3 linked regions of the Bombyx mori genome follow. The protein of the gene in region 1 purifies or fractionates together with the protein of each later gene. This does not show direct contact. Links are inferred from orthologs where the notes say so. Each region holds a gene or a part of one and is shown in the gene's direction. Other genes may lie near its edges. The genes, in order: neutral amino acid transporter 9, ragulator complex protein LAMTOR5 and ragulator complex protein LAMTOR3 homolog.

What was found.
Region 2: the proteins of neutral amino acid transporter 9 (region 1) and ragulator complex protein LAMTOR5 purify together in Homo sapiens (co-immunoprecipitation; 5 studies listed by BioGRID and IntAct, with this or other methods). This does not show direct contact. The link is inferred for Bombyx mori from reciprocal best matches to the Homo sapiens genes SLC38A9 and LAMTOR5.
Region 3: the proteins of neutral amino acid transporter 9 (region 1) and ragulator complex protein LAMTOR3 homolog purify together in Homo sapiens (affinity purification with mass spectrometry; 3 studies listed by BioGRID and IntAct, with this or other methods). This does not show direct contact. The link is inferred for Bombyx mori from reciprocal best matches to the Homo sapiens genes SLC38A9 and LAMTOR3.

Annotation. Positions count from the first base shown.
Region 1 is NC_085109.1:1,879,180-1,882,835, reverse strand, and holds part of neutral amino acid transporter 9, read left to right. Parts: intron 1-1,808; coding exon 1,809-1,966; intron 1,967-2,692; coding exon 2,693-2,854; intron 2,855-3,600; coding exon 3,601-3,656.
Region 2 is NC_085110.1:1,233,059-1,237,269, forward strand, and holds the start of ragulator complex protein LAMTOR5, read left to right. Parts: upstream 1-1,380; 5' UTR 1,381-1,485; coding exon 1,486-1,758; 3' UTR 1,759-1,761; intron 1,762-2,647; exon of another isoform or gene 2,648-3,108; 3' UTR 3,109-4,211. UniProt on the Homo sapiens protein: As part of the Ragulator complex it is involved in amino acid sensing and activation of mTORC1, a signaling complex promoting cell growth in response to growth factors, energy levels, and amino acids.
Region 3 is NC_085109.1:12,157,966-12,162,072, reverse strand, and holds ragulator complex protein LAMTOR3 homolog, read left to right. Parts: upstream 1-1,294; 5' UTR 1,295-1,446; coding exon 1,447-1,490; intron 1,491-1,807; coding exon 1,808-2,000; intron 2,001-2,733; coding exon 2,734-2,874; 3' UTR 2,875-3,985; downstream 3,986-4,107. UniProt on the Homo sapiens protein: As part of the Ragulator complex it is involved in amino acid sensing and activation of mTORC1, a signaling complex promoting cell growth in response to growth factors, energy levels, and amino acids.

The DNA of each region.
Region 1 (3,656 bases):
GAGGACAAATCGTTGACGATAAATAAGGAGACAGTAGATAACCTACAGAATCTGCAGTATTTATCTATTGGCCTTGGAGTAATCGTAGGAGTTATAATACTCGCTGGTTTATACCTCCTGTTTACGCGCTGTCGCAAGGGCGCACAGAATTATATTTGGAGACAAATGAGGTTCCGGGATGTACAGCTCGGACAAGGCCGTCCGTCAGCTGCCACCATCCAGTTGCGTGAAGTCGTGCCTAAATCTCAACCTCAGGAAGCAAGAAGTACCGCTTTCGTGTAACCGCGTTCGTTTCGTGTAATAAGCGATGTACGTAATTTGTGTAATATGTACGTATAGGTTAATATTCTTTTATGTTATGTTTAAATTTTTATTCTGTTCCTTTCTATATTGATTTATATTTTTTGTCATGTTTATTGTTTAACGAAATGTCTGCAATTTTAGAAATTAGTTGAAGCATGTAAATGTATTTTTTTATTTTATTTTTTTAAATGTATTTATTTAAAAAAAGGGGGGGCTTATGTAGGGACACATTTAGCAGCGTATGCAGTTTTGTGCATCGCATGCATTTGGTCAGTCGTACATAGCCCACCCGACACGGCAGACACTGGTGAATATACGGAGTTAAAATTGCAATCAACTTGTTTCATTAGTAAAGGGCAGCTTACTCCTTACTCTTGCTAAAGCTACCGTACAAAGAGATTATCACGTACATATTTATATATAAATGGAATGGGCATTTAGACCATATCGCGATAAGGACGTCATTGTAACCGTGATTAGACTTGTAATGTGAGAGAATGTAATGAAGACTGCTTTTACAGTTTGAACTTGGATTTTGTTTTTTGAAATTGGAATTAGTACATTATTTACCATGTTTCGAATAATTTATAAAGCAGTACATCGTAAAATTAATTTTAATTGTGTTTAGGAATTACGAAATAATAATAAAAAAATATGTCGAGGGGTAAAAGGCGCGGGTCTTTAAAGGAAAGTGAAAGGGTATTTAAGCGATATTTCGCTTAATACGGGACGTTCATCATTGTAATTAAAGGTCCGTTTCATGTGGCATTAGCAACAACAATGCGATGTTTTTCAATTGAAATTCAATTACATTTATCACATTCATATAGCTGAAGAAGTTTTTTCGGTAAGTAAGTATATTTTTATTTTATTGAAGTGAAAACTTCTTTAGAATCGTTGTGATTTCAAACCGGATGCAACGGAAAAAACGACAGGTAAGAGACACAAATACAAAAATGTGTAGGATGAAGCCAGCAAAGAATGAGACAGAAATATACATACTATTTAATACAGCGCCATCTGTGAGATTTTTTAATACTAACGTGTGTATGAAAGCTCTTGTAGTGAATTTTAATTTAGGATTATACGTGAAATTAAAATATCAATTCACAGAGGGCGCTACCGTACAATTATTTACTAATGACAAAATTTTACATATACTTAAGACGTTTAGGATGATTGTATTTTAATTTTGGAAGGTTTCACTTCTACCACGTGTGAATTGCACACATTTTGTTTTTATTTATTTATTTATGTACACACAAAAAAGAAGACATAGTACAGAGTAATAGGAAGATTATGTACAAAGGCACTACTTATTTCTTTAAGAAATCTCTTCCAGCAGACCTGCGAGAGGATTATGAGAATAATAATTAAAAGTGATTATATTTTCTTCCAAGTTTTAAACTTTAAATGGCTCTCTTGTAAAGTTGCAAGAACGTCCCTTAAACCCAAATAACCTTTCACCTATCGAAGTGTTTTCAATGTAGGTATATATTTTTCAGTTTTTCAATATGGAACACGATAATGGGGTCGTCGCTACTGACCATGGCGTGGGGCGTCGAGCGGGCTGGTCTCCCGGCCGCTCTGGTCCTGGTCGCAGTAATGGCGGCCTTGTGTCTTTACACCGCCTACATATTGATCTCAGTAAACGCTTATCACGGTGAGATATTTGTTTTAATTCTTCTTTAGTTTAGCTAAAATTGTTTAATTTTTTGAATGCCCGAGCAGGCATACTAGCATACGGCCCACCTGATGGTGAGTGGTTATCGTCGCCCATGGACGTCAGCAATGCCAGAGGCAGAACCAAGCCGCTGCCTACCGCTTGCTTATGCTGGGTATTCGATCTTACTTTTTTTTTTTATTGCCTTTGTAGCCAGACGAGCATACGGCCCACCTGATGGTGAGTGGTTACCGTCGCCCATGGACTTCAGCAACGCCAGGGGCTGAGCCAAGCCGCTGCCTACCGCTAAAACATCTTAACACATTGACACACTTAACTTACTTAACACATTGTGTTCCAGTAACCACTTAGCACCAGGTTTTTTTTATTGCTTAGATTGGTGGACGAGCTCACAGCCCACCTGATGTTAAGCAGCTACTGGAACCCATAGATATCTACAACTCAAATGCGCCACCCACCTTGAGATATAAGTTCTAAGGTCTCAGTACAGTTACAACGGCTGCCCCACCCTTCAAACCGAAACGCATTACTGCTTCACGGCAGAAATAGGCAGGGCGGTGGTACCTACCCGTGCGTACTCACAAGACGTCCTACCACCAGTGTACTGTGTGGGCTGTGAGCTCGTCCACCCATTTCAACAATAAATGAACATGGAGGATCCACTATTTAGCCGCCTATCGCAAACAAATATCTGCGTTCCTGTAGGTAGCGACACGTGCTCGGTGCAGGCGCTGTGCCGGCTGCTGCTGGGCGGCTGGGCGGAGGCGCTGGCGCACGTGTTCAGCGTGCTGGTACTCCTCGGAGCGAACATCGTATACTGGATACTCATCACCAACTTCTTTTACTTCACCGTTAATTATTTTATAGGTAGGAGCCTATTGTTGTTGGTAAATTCGTATTTCTCTAGTCCAATTCCGTTTCCAAATTATAATTTGCGTAATTACTGGTCGTAGGGTCTCTTGTGAGTCCGCACCGCCCAGCTTATTTCGGCCGTGAAGCAGTAATGCGTTTCGGTTTGAAGGATAGGGCAACCGTTGTAACTATTCAGGTACTGACTTTACGGCACGAAGGTAAAGTATTAATTATAATGTCCTTCTCAAGCCAATATGTACGGTTAGCGGCAGAAATCGGCGAGACAGCGGTATCTGTCCTCCTTCTTCTTCTTTTTCCCCACCTTATCCTACAAGGTCGGGTCGGAACAGCGAAATTTTCTATTTCATCCTCTCTCTCTCTCATATCGTCATTCACACACCCCATTCTTGTCTTCTTCGGTCGACCTCTTCCCCCTCTACCTCGCACTACCATTTCCATACATCTCCTAGTCAACAACTCTCTGACAACTCTCTGGGTCGTAAGTGAGTTTCGGTGACTTTTTTTATTTTTATAGCTTATATGGTTGTTGGACGAGCTCACAGCCCACCTGGTGTTAAGTGGTAACTGAAGCCCATAGACATCTACAACTTAAATGCACCACCCACCTTGAGGTATGAGTTCTAAGGTCTCAGTACAGTTACTATTGCTGCCGCGCCCTTCAAACCGAAACGCATTACTGCTTCACGACAGAAATAGGCAGGCAGTGTCTGGCAACATCTAAATAACTTTAACCCTTGCAGATCTAAGTGTGTCGAACGCAACCGAATACAACACGACCCTGCTATGTCCGAATCAA
Region 2 (4,211 bases), on another chromosome or scaffold:
GTACAGTAGAACTTTGCTGCAATGTGAGACAAGGGCTAGCGTGCGGTTATTGTCGCACTTCCTAGTTGACCCTTTTTTATGAAGCGGCAAAATGATCAACTCAGTCCAGTTATTGGGCCACTCGCCATGTTGCCATACGTAATTGCAGATGCTATGCACTGCATTCACACCCCTATCTCCCAGCGATTTAATTATTTCTGCCGTGATGTGATCCGGTCCTGGAGCTTTATTGCTCTTTAGTCGAGAGATGGCTTCTGTTACTTCTGATCGTATTATTGAAGGTTCTAAGGTTATGTCGTCCCAGACTGGGAGTTGTGTACTCATTGACTGAGGCTGATCATATAATCCTTCACAGTATTTACGCCACATTTCGACAACGGCATTTAAATCAGTGATAGGCTTGCCATTGGGATCTTCAATTATCCAGGATCTTGGTTTAAATTTCCGAGACAAAAGGCGAACTTTCTTGAACAAATAAGACGGTTGGTATTTTTGTGAATGTTTTTCGATATCAGTGTAAATGTCTCCAATGAAACAGCTTTTATCTCGGCGGCACGCTTTTTTAATTTCCTTGCAAAGGTCAGAATAAGTCTTCCTGACGTCATCATTCTGTAATCCCTTCACTTTGATGTCTTTCCTCTTGCTTATAAGCTTCTCTTGTTTGCTCCGAAATCCATACTTTGGTTTTTTTTCCGATTTGCATTTCCCTCTCTGCGGGAAGCCTTGATTTCTTCAAGGGATTCGCAGAGATGAGATTTTACGGTATCCCATTGAGTGTTAGCATCGCCTGTAGGAGGTTCTAGGGCTAGTTTTTTCTCCACGGCATCGCATAAGTATGTCCTTTCTTCCGGTTCCAGTGCACGTGGTCCTCTGATGGTTCTACTGCTGGCAGTTTTGTGTCGTAATGTAAATCTTTATGGTCAATTTTTAAAAAAACTACTACCAATTGAATAAGAACTGTCTGATGAATTCATCTTTGTTTAATACTTCACTATTAAATTTTATTGACTTTTGTTTATTTTACTTTTACACTAAACACTAAATATTGCAAATTACCCGAGCACAACAATGGCGGAGAATTTTAGATGCGTGAGAGCAGACGTAGACAGACGTAGACGCATGCACACTTAACCCAGGGAGAAAAAGTTACACTTTCTTTCCTGTACAGCAGGAGGAAAAGTTACACTTTCTTCCCTGTATAGCGGGACGAAAACCGAACTTTCGGCGTCGGTAGGAGAAAAAATTTATTTTCAATTATTTGTACCATTTCGCTATCGTAACACAAACACGGCTCAGTCTAACAAAAAACTTAGTTCTATACACGGCTTTATTTGCTTGTCCAACTAGACTTTAAAAAAATACATCTGTCAGTGCTGATGCTATGTCAAAAGTCAACAAAGAATCTTTTGTTTTGTTTCCAAAAGACAGTCGACAGTCGACTTTGACCGTGTTTTTTATAAATTAATATAAATTTGTTTAATAAAAATGGAAAACGATCTAGACAAAGTCGTAGAAGAAATCATGTCTATGCCTAATGTCAATGGCTGTCTTATCGCGGACCCACAAGGACTATGCTTGGCATCAAAAGGCGCCGCGCACGTAGACTCTGCAGGGATAATCGTTGCCATATCAGAACAGGCCTGTAAAATACAACCGAACATGAAACCGCCCACAGTTTGCCTTGAAACTGATAAAAAACAGTGCCTCATACAACGACATGGCACGATCACCGGAGCGATTTTTAAATTGAAAACATAGAAGGTACTTGTATATTTTATTTATTTATTGAAAATGTAATAATTGTTTATCATGATATGTATGAACGGCCTTGAACTTAAATGAACTCTTTGCTGTTACTTCACAACATAGTTTTCTATGGAACATGAAATTACTTGTAAGTTATGACATAAGTGAAATGTAATAACAATATTTTAATGTACAGGTAGCTAGCCCTACTATAACACGGTATTTTACAACACGATTCCACACTAACACGAAAAGATAAATTCCCCAAAACCTTATAATGAGATTTTTGTTATATAGAAAATTACATTACGCACTATGAACACACAAGTTATGGGAGTAACTGAAACTTTACTGCTTCATCATCATCATCATCATCAGCCCATCATCAGTCCACTGCTGGACATAGGCCTCTCCCAATCCACACCGAGGGTATTTTTTATTTTTATATAATATCATATATTATATAAAAACTTCTATTATTATTCTATTATTTTTTCTATTATTATTAATCTATACTAATATTATAAAGAGGAAAGATTTGTTTGTTTGTTTGTTTCGAATAGGCTCCGAAACTACTGGACCGATTTGAAAAATTCTTTTTCCATTAGAAGCCGACATTGTCCCTGATGAACATAGGCTACTTTTTTTTATTTTTTTTTATTTTTTTTTTTGGTTTCTGTGTGTTTTAATGTTTCCGAAGCGAAGCGAGGGCGGGTCGCTAGTAATGATTATAATGCAAGTTCTTGAAAATAAATCCATTCATGAAAAGAATAATAAGGATGAAGTCTCAAGATGGTGGGTGATAGCATTCACATACTCACATACATTATTCACACATACATTATTAGTAATTATTTAAGTTTCATTTACAGTTAAATAAAGTTTATTATTTGTTTTTCAGTAAAATAAAATTTAAAACAACATTGAACTATTCTGGTAAGCAAGCTATCCAGAAGATCGTGTATTATTCAGCCAAAAGTATGTTAACTTAACATCTCTCAGGAGGTTATGTCTAGTGATAGGAAATAAATTAAAATTATTATTTACTTTTAACTGACCCCCAAAATAACATAAATTTGAATACTTCTTTATCTAGATTTTAATTTCAAAATTTATCTAAAGTATTACCTACCAATCATAAAATGTAAAACCACATAAACATTGTATAATGTTATTTTAAAGAGAATAAATATTAACAGCTAAATTATTGTAATGGCTTACCACCATACTAAGTAAAAGTTTAACAATTATGATTAACATAATATTGTATTCCAAGTATAAGTTTTTCGTAACCACATAAATTCTCTAGTTTCTTCATGTAATAATAATAATGACTGGTTTTTTAATTTGCTTGTTTATTAGCTTTGCCTGTATGCATTGGAATCTTTGAACATTATTTCAACCCACCTCGAAACATTATATAATTGAAATTTAGCACACTTATAAAGGACCGCCCAGAATAATAGAATAATATAATAAGAGTATCCCATTGGACTGACCAGGATCTTCAGGATTATTCTCAAATAATATATAACATAGTATGTTTTTCTTTGGTTTTTGAGTTGTAAACATAATTTAAGTACTTTTACTGTTTAATCTTGCATTAATTATTTTTTGTTATAAGTTAAGTTGCTTTAGTTAACTAAATGATTGTTTAAATTAAAAACTTTCTTTTTCAGCTCGCTAAAAAATACTAAAAAGTAAAAAATATTTGTTAGATGTGGAAAGTTTGTTCTTATAGGATCATAATTTCGTTCTTATTTTAAAAGTTTTAATATAAAAATTAAGTTTAAGTAAGGAAAAGTATGGGGAGTGGTTCTACTGTAAGAAAATATTATTAATGATCATTTTGGTAGTTTTTCAATTACAGCACAAGAGCGCATTATGCAGCATAATGCTCAACGTTGAATGTTCCAACTACAGCAACGCTTCGCACAATCGAGCACTCTCAAAAGTACTGCTGATACTCGCAATCGGTACCAACTCAGTGACAGAATAAATTGACAAGTGTTTTTTCTTTAAGTTGGCATTGATCGAAATTTTGTTTATATTATCGTTAGTAATATTATTTAATGTTGAAAAAAAATGTAAGGCTTTCGTTTCGTCGTAGTTTCTTAGAAATAATCAATATTAAATAAAACTGTGCTAACTTAGCGCACTCTGCTGATGCATTTGAAAACTAATTGACTTTCCAATTAATCTTCAGCATAATTTGGCATTGTGCTTCACTGAGTCGCATTATGCTCTGTAATTGGAAAACTACCTATAACACTTATCATTTAGTTATGGACTATTTATTGTAAGATTTGATGTTAGGCACCCTACACTTTATTAACTTAAATGTTCCACAGGACAAACAGTTACTTAGACTGTGGATAGCCTTTTAAAAGACTATAGAAACGAAACAATTATTTTAATGTTAAGTATCTCTTGTTATTTTATATATGAGGTTTACAAATATTATA
Region 3 (4,107 bases), about 10 Mb from region 1:
CATATTGAGGCGAAAGAGATTTTTTATTCTTTTGTTATCATACCAAACTTGTAATTCAAGATATTGCAACATTCAATTGTGATGTTATTTAACACTTTATTGCTTCGCATTTATGAACACTTATTCTATTATAATTGGTTGACTATGCAAATAAATCTCTAGAAGTACAAAGGCAATAATTATTGTACCCAAAAATAAATTACGAAAATCCCACAACTTGTCAGTTCGATTCTGCCATTTTGGCAATAGACTTTAAAAATAATTTTTAATCTGTGTTCATTTACATTTGAATTTTTCGCTGTTTCCAAGTCAGTAATATTTATTAAAAAAAAAAAAGAATTGCTCGCTACTGACATTCTCATCTCATTTATTTTTTTGGGGATCCTCACGGATCACTTATCGGCATTTGTTTAATAAAATAAATAGTAAACATTAATAGACTTATGTGGGATTAGTATTCTATATAGATCCATATTCGTTGTATAATGAGCTAATTTTGAATTAAGCAACAGGCACAAATAGATTTTGTAACAGAATAATCATAGAATATAGGTAATCTGTGAACTTTCATGAAATTTCTGAAATTGGCCTAAAACCTTTTTTTTGGAGGGAACGCGAGGAGTGACGTTGTGTGAGTTGTTTTATTTTGTCAATTTAGTGTTTCTTCAGGTTTAAATGTGTAATAACCGTGGTTTATAAACTGTTTAGTATAACTGTGAAAGTGCACAAATGTGGGAAAATGAAACTAAGCCACTGAACGTAACTTCTCGGGATCCTCCAAAAAGTCCACTCAAAAATCTTAGTAAATGGCCACCATTTTACTGAGATTGTATTTCATCCCTTATCATCCCATCTCATTTCATTTCATGTTTCATATGAATGAACTTCATTTCATTTCACTTCATATTATCATTTTTCATACATAATAAAAATATATTTAAAATATAAAAGCTTAAGGCAGCGATTCCCAAAGTGGTCTATATCGACCCCTAGGGGTTATGTTATTTTATTTATAGTTTATTTTATGTTACGTATATTTTACATAACAGATACAAAATTTTATTTTGAGTAGTTTTAATTTAAATTCAATTAATAAATGTATAAATTAACATGGGTTTTATTTTAAGTTTTTAACACTAAACTTTACTACAGTTAGAAATTTACAGGAAATCAATATCAGGTAAGTAGGGGGTCTACCCAACACGGAAAAACATGGCAAGGGGTCTACGACACAAAAAAGTTTGGGGAACTCTGGTTTAAGGTATATACTAAGGTACCTTTGCCTGTCCAGTTGGAAAAACAAAATTAGTATTACTACTGGCGTAAAACCAATTTGTCAACTGTCAACATTAAAAAAATATAAACAAACCTTATTTTTTTCACAATTTAGTATTTGCTAGCTTTCCATATTTCTAAAACCAAAAAAGATTTTTCACTGTAAAAAATATGGTTGACGATCTTAGAAAATACTTGAATCATTTACTGGAAAAGTAAGAAAACTTTATAATTTACGTTTTTACTCTTTGGTTTTTCGTTTTATTATCTTACTTGCGACCCGCCCTAGCTTCGCTTCGGAAATTGTTATTTATTATTGATTTCTCCACTATTTAATGGATGTTATTATACACATAAACCTTCCTCTTCAATCACTCTATCTATTAAAAAAAACCGCATCAAAATCCGTTGCGTAGTTTTAAAGATTTAAGCATACATAGGGATATAGGGACAGAGAAAGTGACTTTGGAAAGTACGTACGGATGGATAAAAAAGAAAAACTATTGATGGCCTTAACTTTATTCTTTTTCAGAGTAAATGGCCTACATTGTATTTTGATTACCGATAGAGACGGTGTACCCCTTGTGAGGGCGGTAACTGAAAGAGCGCCTCCACTAGCTCTGCGTCCTAACTTCATATCCACGTTTGGAATGGCCACAGATCAGGCTAGCAAACTTGGGTTGGGTAGAAATAAAACCATTATATCAATGTATTCTAGTTATCAGGTTAGTTTTGAAAAAAATATACATTATTATTTTTAGTAAGTGATAAATATATAGTTATTGCGTGCTACCGAGTGCTACCAGGCAACCTCCGACGGAGAGCCAGCGCCAAACTATAAAAAAGATCCCTCGCTGCGCATTTGCCCTCTTTTTTGTGTGTAGCGTTCATGTACGTTTCTTGTTGAAACATGTTTTGGACTTGTGTAGTTTTTACAGTTTTCGTTAATGGTAGATTGAAATCATTTTGTTAGAAATTTTGTTTAATTCAGTGAAATATAATTAGACCAGTTCTGTGTAATTTATTTCTATTATATAAGAGGTTTAACTACCTCACTTCTGGTCAATTATAGAATTGTAGGGCTATAAAGCCTCCCTCATACATGGAGCTATTGTCGCTTATTGAGTGCTAGTTATTAGTAAATACATGATGTTGAAGAATGAGACTGCCCTGTTTGCCTGGAATGAGTATAATAAGTTAGTTAAATTTCTTTAGGTGGAATCATTGCTAACACAAGCTGTATAATAGCAAAGGAAGTCAAATCTGGGCACAATTTTGGGCTTCAGTCAATCAGTTATTATAAAAAATATCTAAATTTAAAATACATATTTAGAACCCTAAAATTATTGATAAATTATTTTAAATCGAAATATTGCAATCTTGAGCCATTCACAGTATAATAGTATTTCTAATATTTCTGTAATGTTCATGTTTAATAAAAATAATCATAATTTACAGGTGGTACAAATGAGCAAACTACCCCTAGTTATCACATTTATTGGAAGCGACAACTGCAACACTGGTCACATCTTATCATTAGAGAGTCAGATTGAACCGTTCTTGAAGGACTTGGAGGTGGTAGTTGCAGATGCACCTTGAATCAAACAAGCGAAACCAAAATATTTCTCATAAATTACTCATATAAACATGTTTTTAAAATATATCAAGGCTATTTGGTTTAAGCGACATTCATCTTTGTAATTAAAGGTACCTTTTAATTGGTATTAGCATCAAGACTTTGTTGAACTTTAATTAAATTTACTCCATTCTAATAGCAGAAGAAGTGTTTTTGTCTGATATATTTTTCCAAATTTTAAACATTTTGGCTCACCTGTAAAGTTTCAAAAATGTTGCTTAAACCAAATAGCCTTTTACAACTCTCTAAAATAGGTTTATTAAGGCTAATGTGGGATCGAAGTTACATATTTATTTTTCGGTGCTTTTATGAACTGTATATAGTAATATGAACATTGGCAATGCCTTGCGTTTTTTTACAATAATCTGTTTAGCTAAAGTATATTGATGTAAAATAAGTTATGTGGAACCCATCATAAAGTAATGCAAATCTGCAATTACATAGATTAAATGCAATATAAAAGTTTATCCAAAAACATTACATAATTGCATATATGAATATTATTCGAATGCTTTGAGTGCAAATACCTATAAAATTTGGTGTTGCCAGTGTCAGTTTTGAACTATAACATCTTCTTTTTTTAACTACCTACATTACTAACAATGATAGAAAAGTTTAAAAACTGAAATAATTTATATTAATAAGATGTATATAGAAGCAGGGTTGACTGCATATAGTTAGTAATGTGTACATATAAGGCAGATGACGTATTGGAATATGCAATGCAGCTTGATGCAGAGATGCAGTCCAATATTCCAGGTATTTGTTTAAAAAGTGCATTATATGATTCATTGATTTATGTATGGACATGTAGTGAATACGTCTGGTATGATATTTGCCTAAAATATATTTTTTCTCTAAAAATGTCAGTAGCTACTTTGATATATTACAACTAGTTTATGTGTATTATCTATTATCTATGGTTACAGTATCCCTAAATGTTTATTGGTGTTTAATGTATGTATATATAATTGAATTTTGGAATTGAAATTCTAAAATGCTATTTAAAGTGTCAAAACATATAAAGTTATAAAAAGGAAACTATTTACGTACCATTAAAAGTTAACTGTTTTAGTTCTTGTTTTCTTAATTTTGGGAATTACCTACTTGTATAGTTTTCTGAACGAATTTATCATTGAATTATTAAGTTATAAGAAGCAAACCTTTTAGCCAGATCAGAACTACTATCGTTCGGA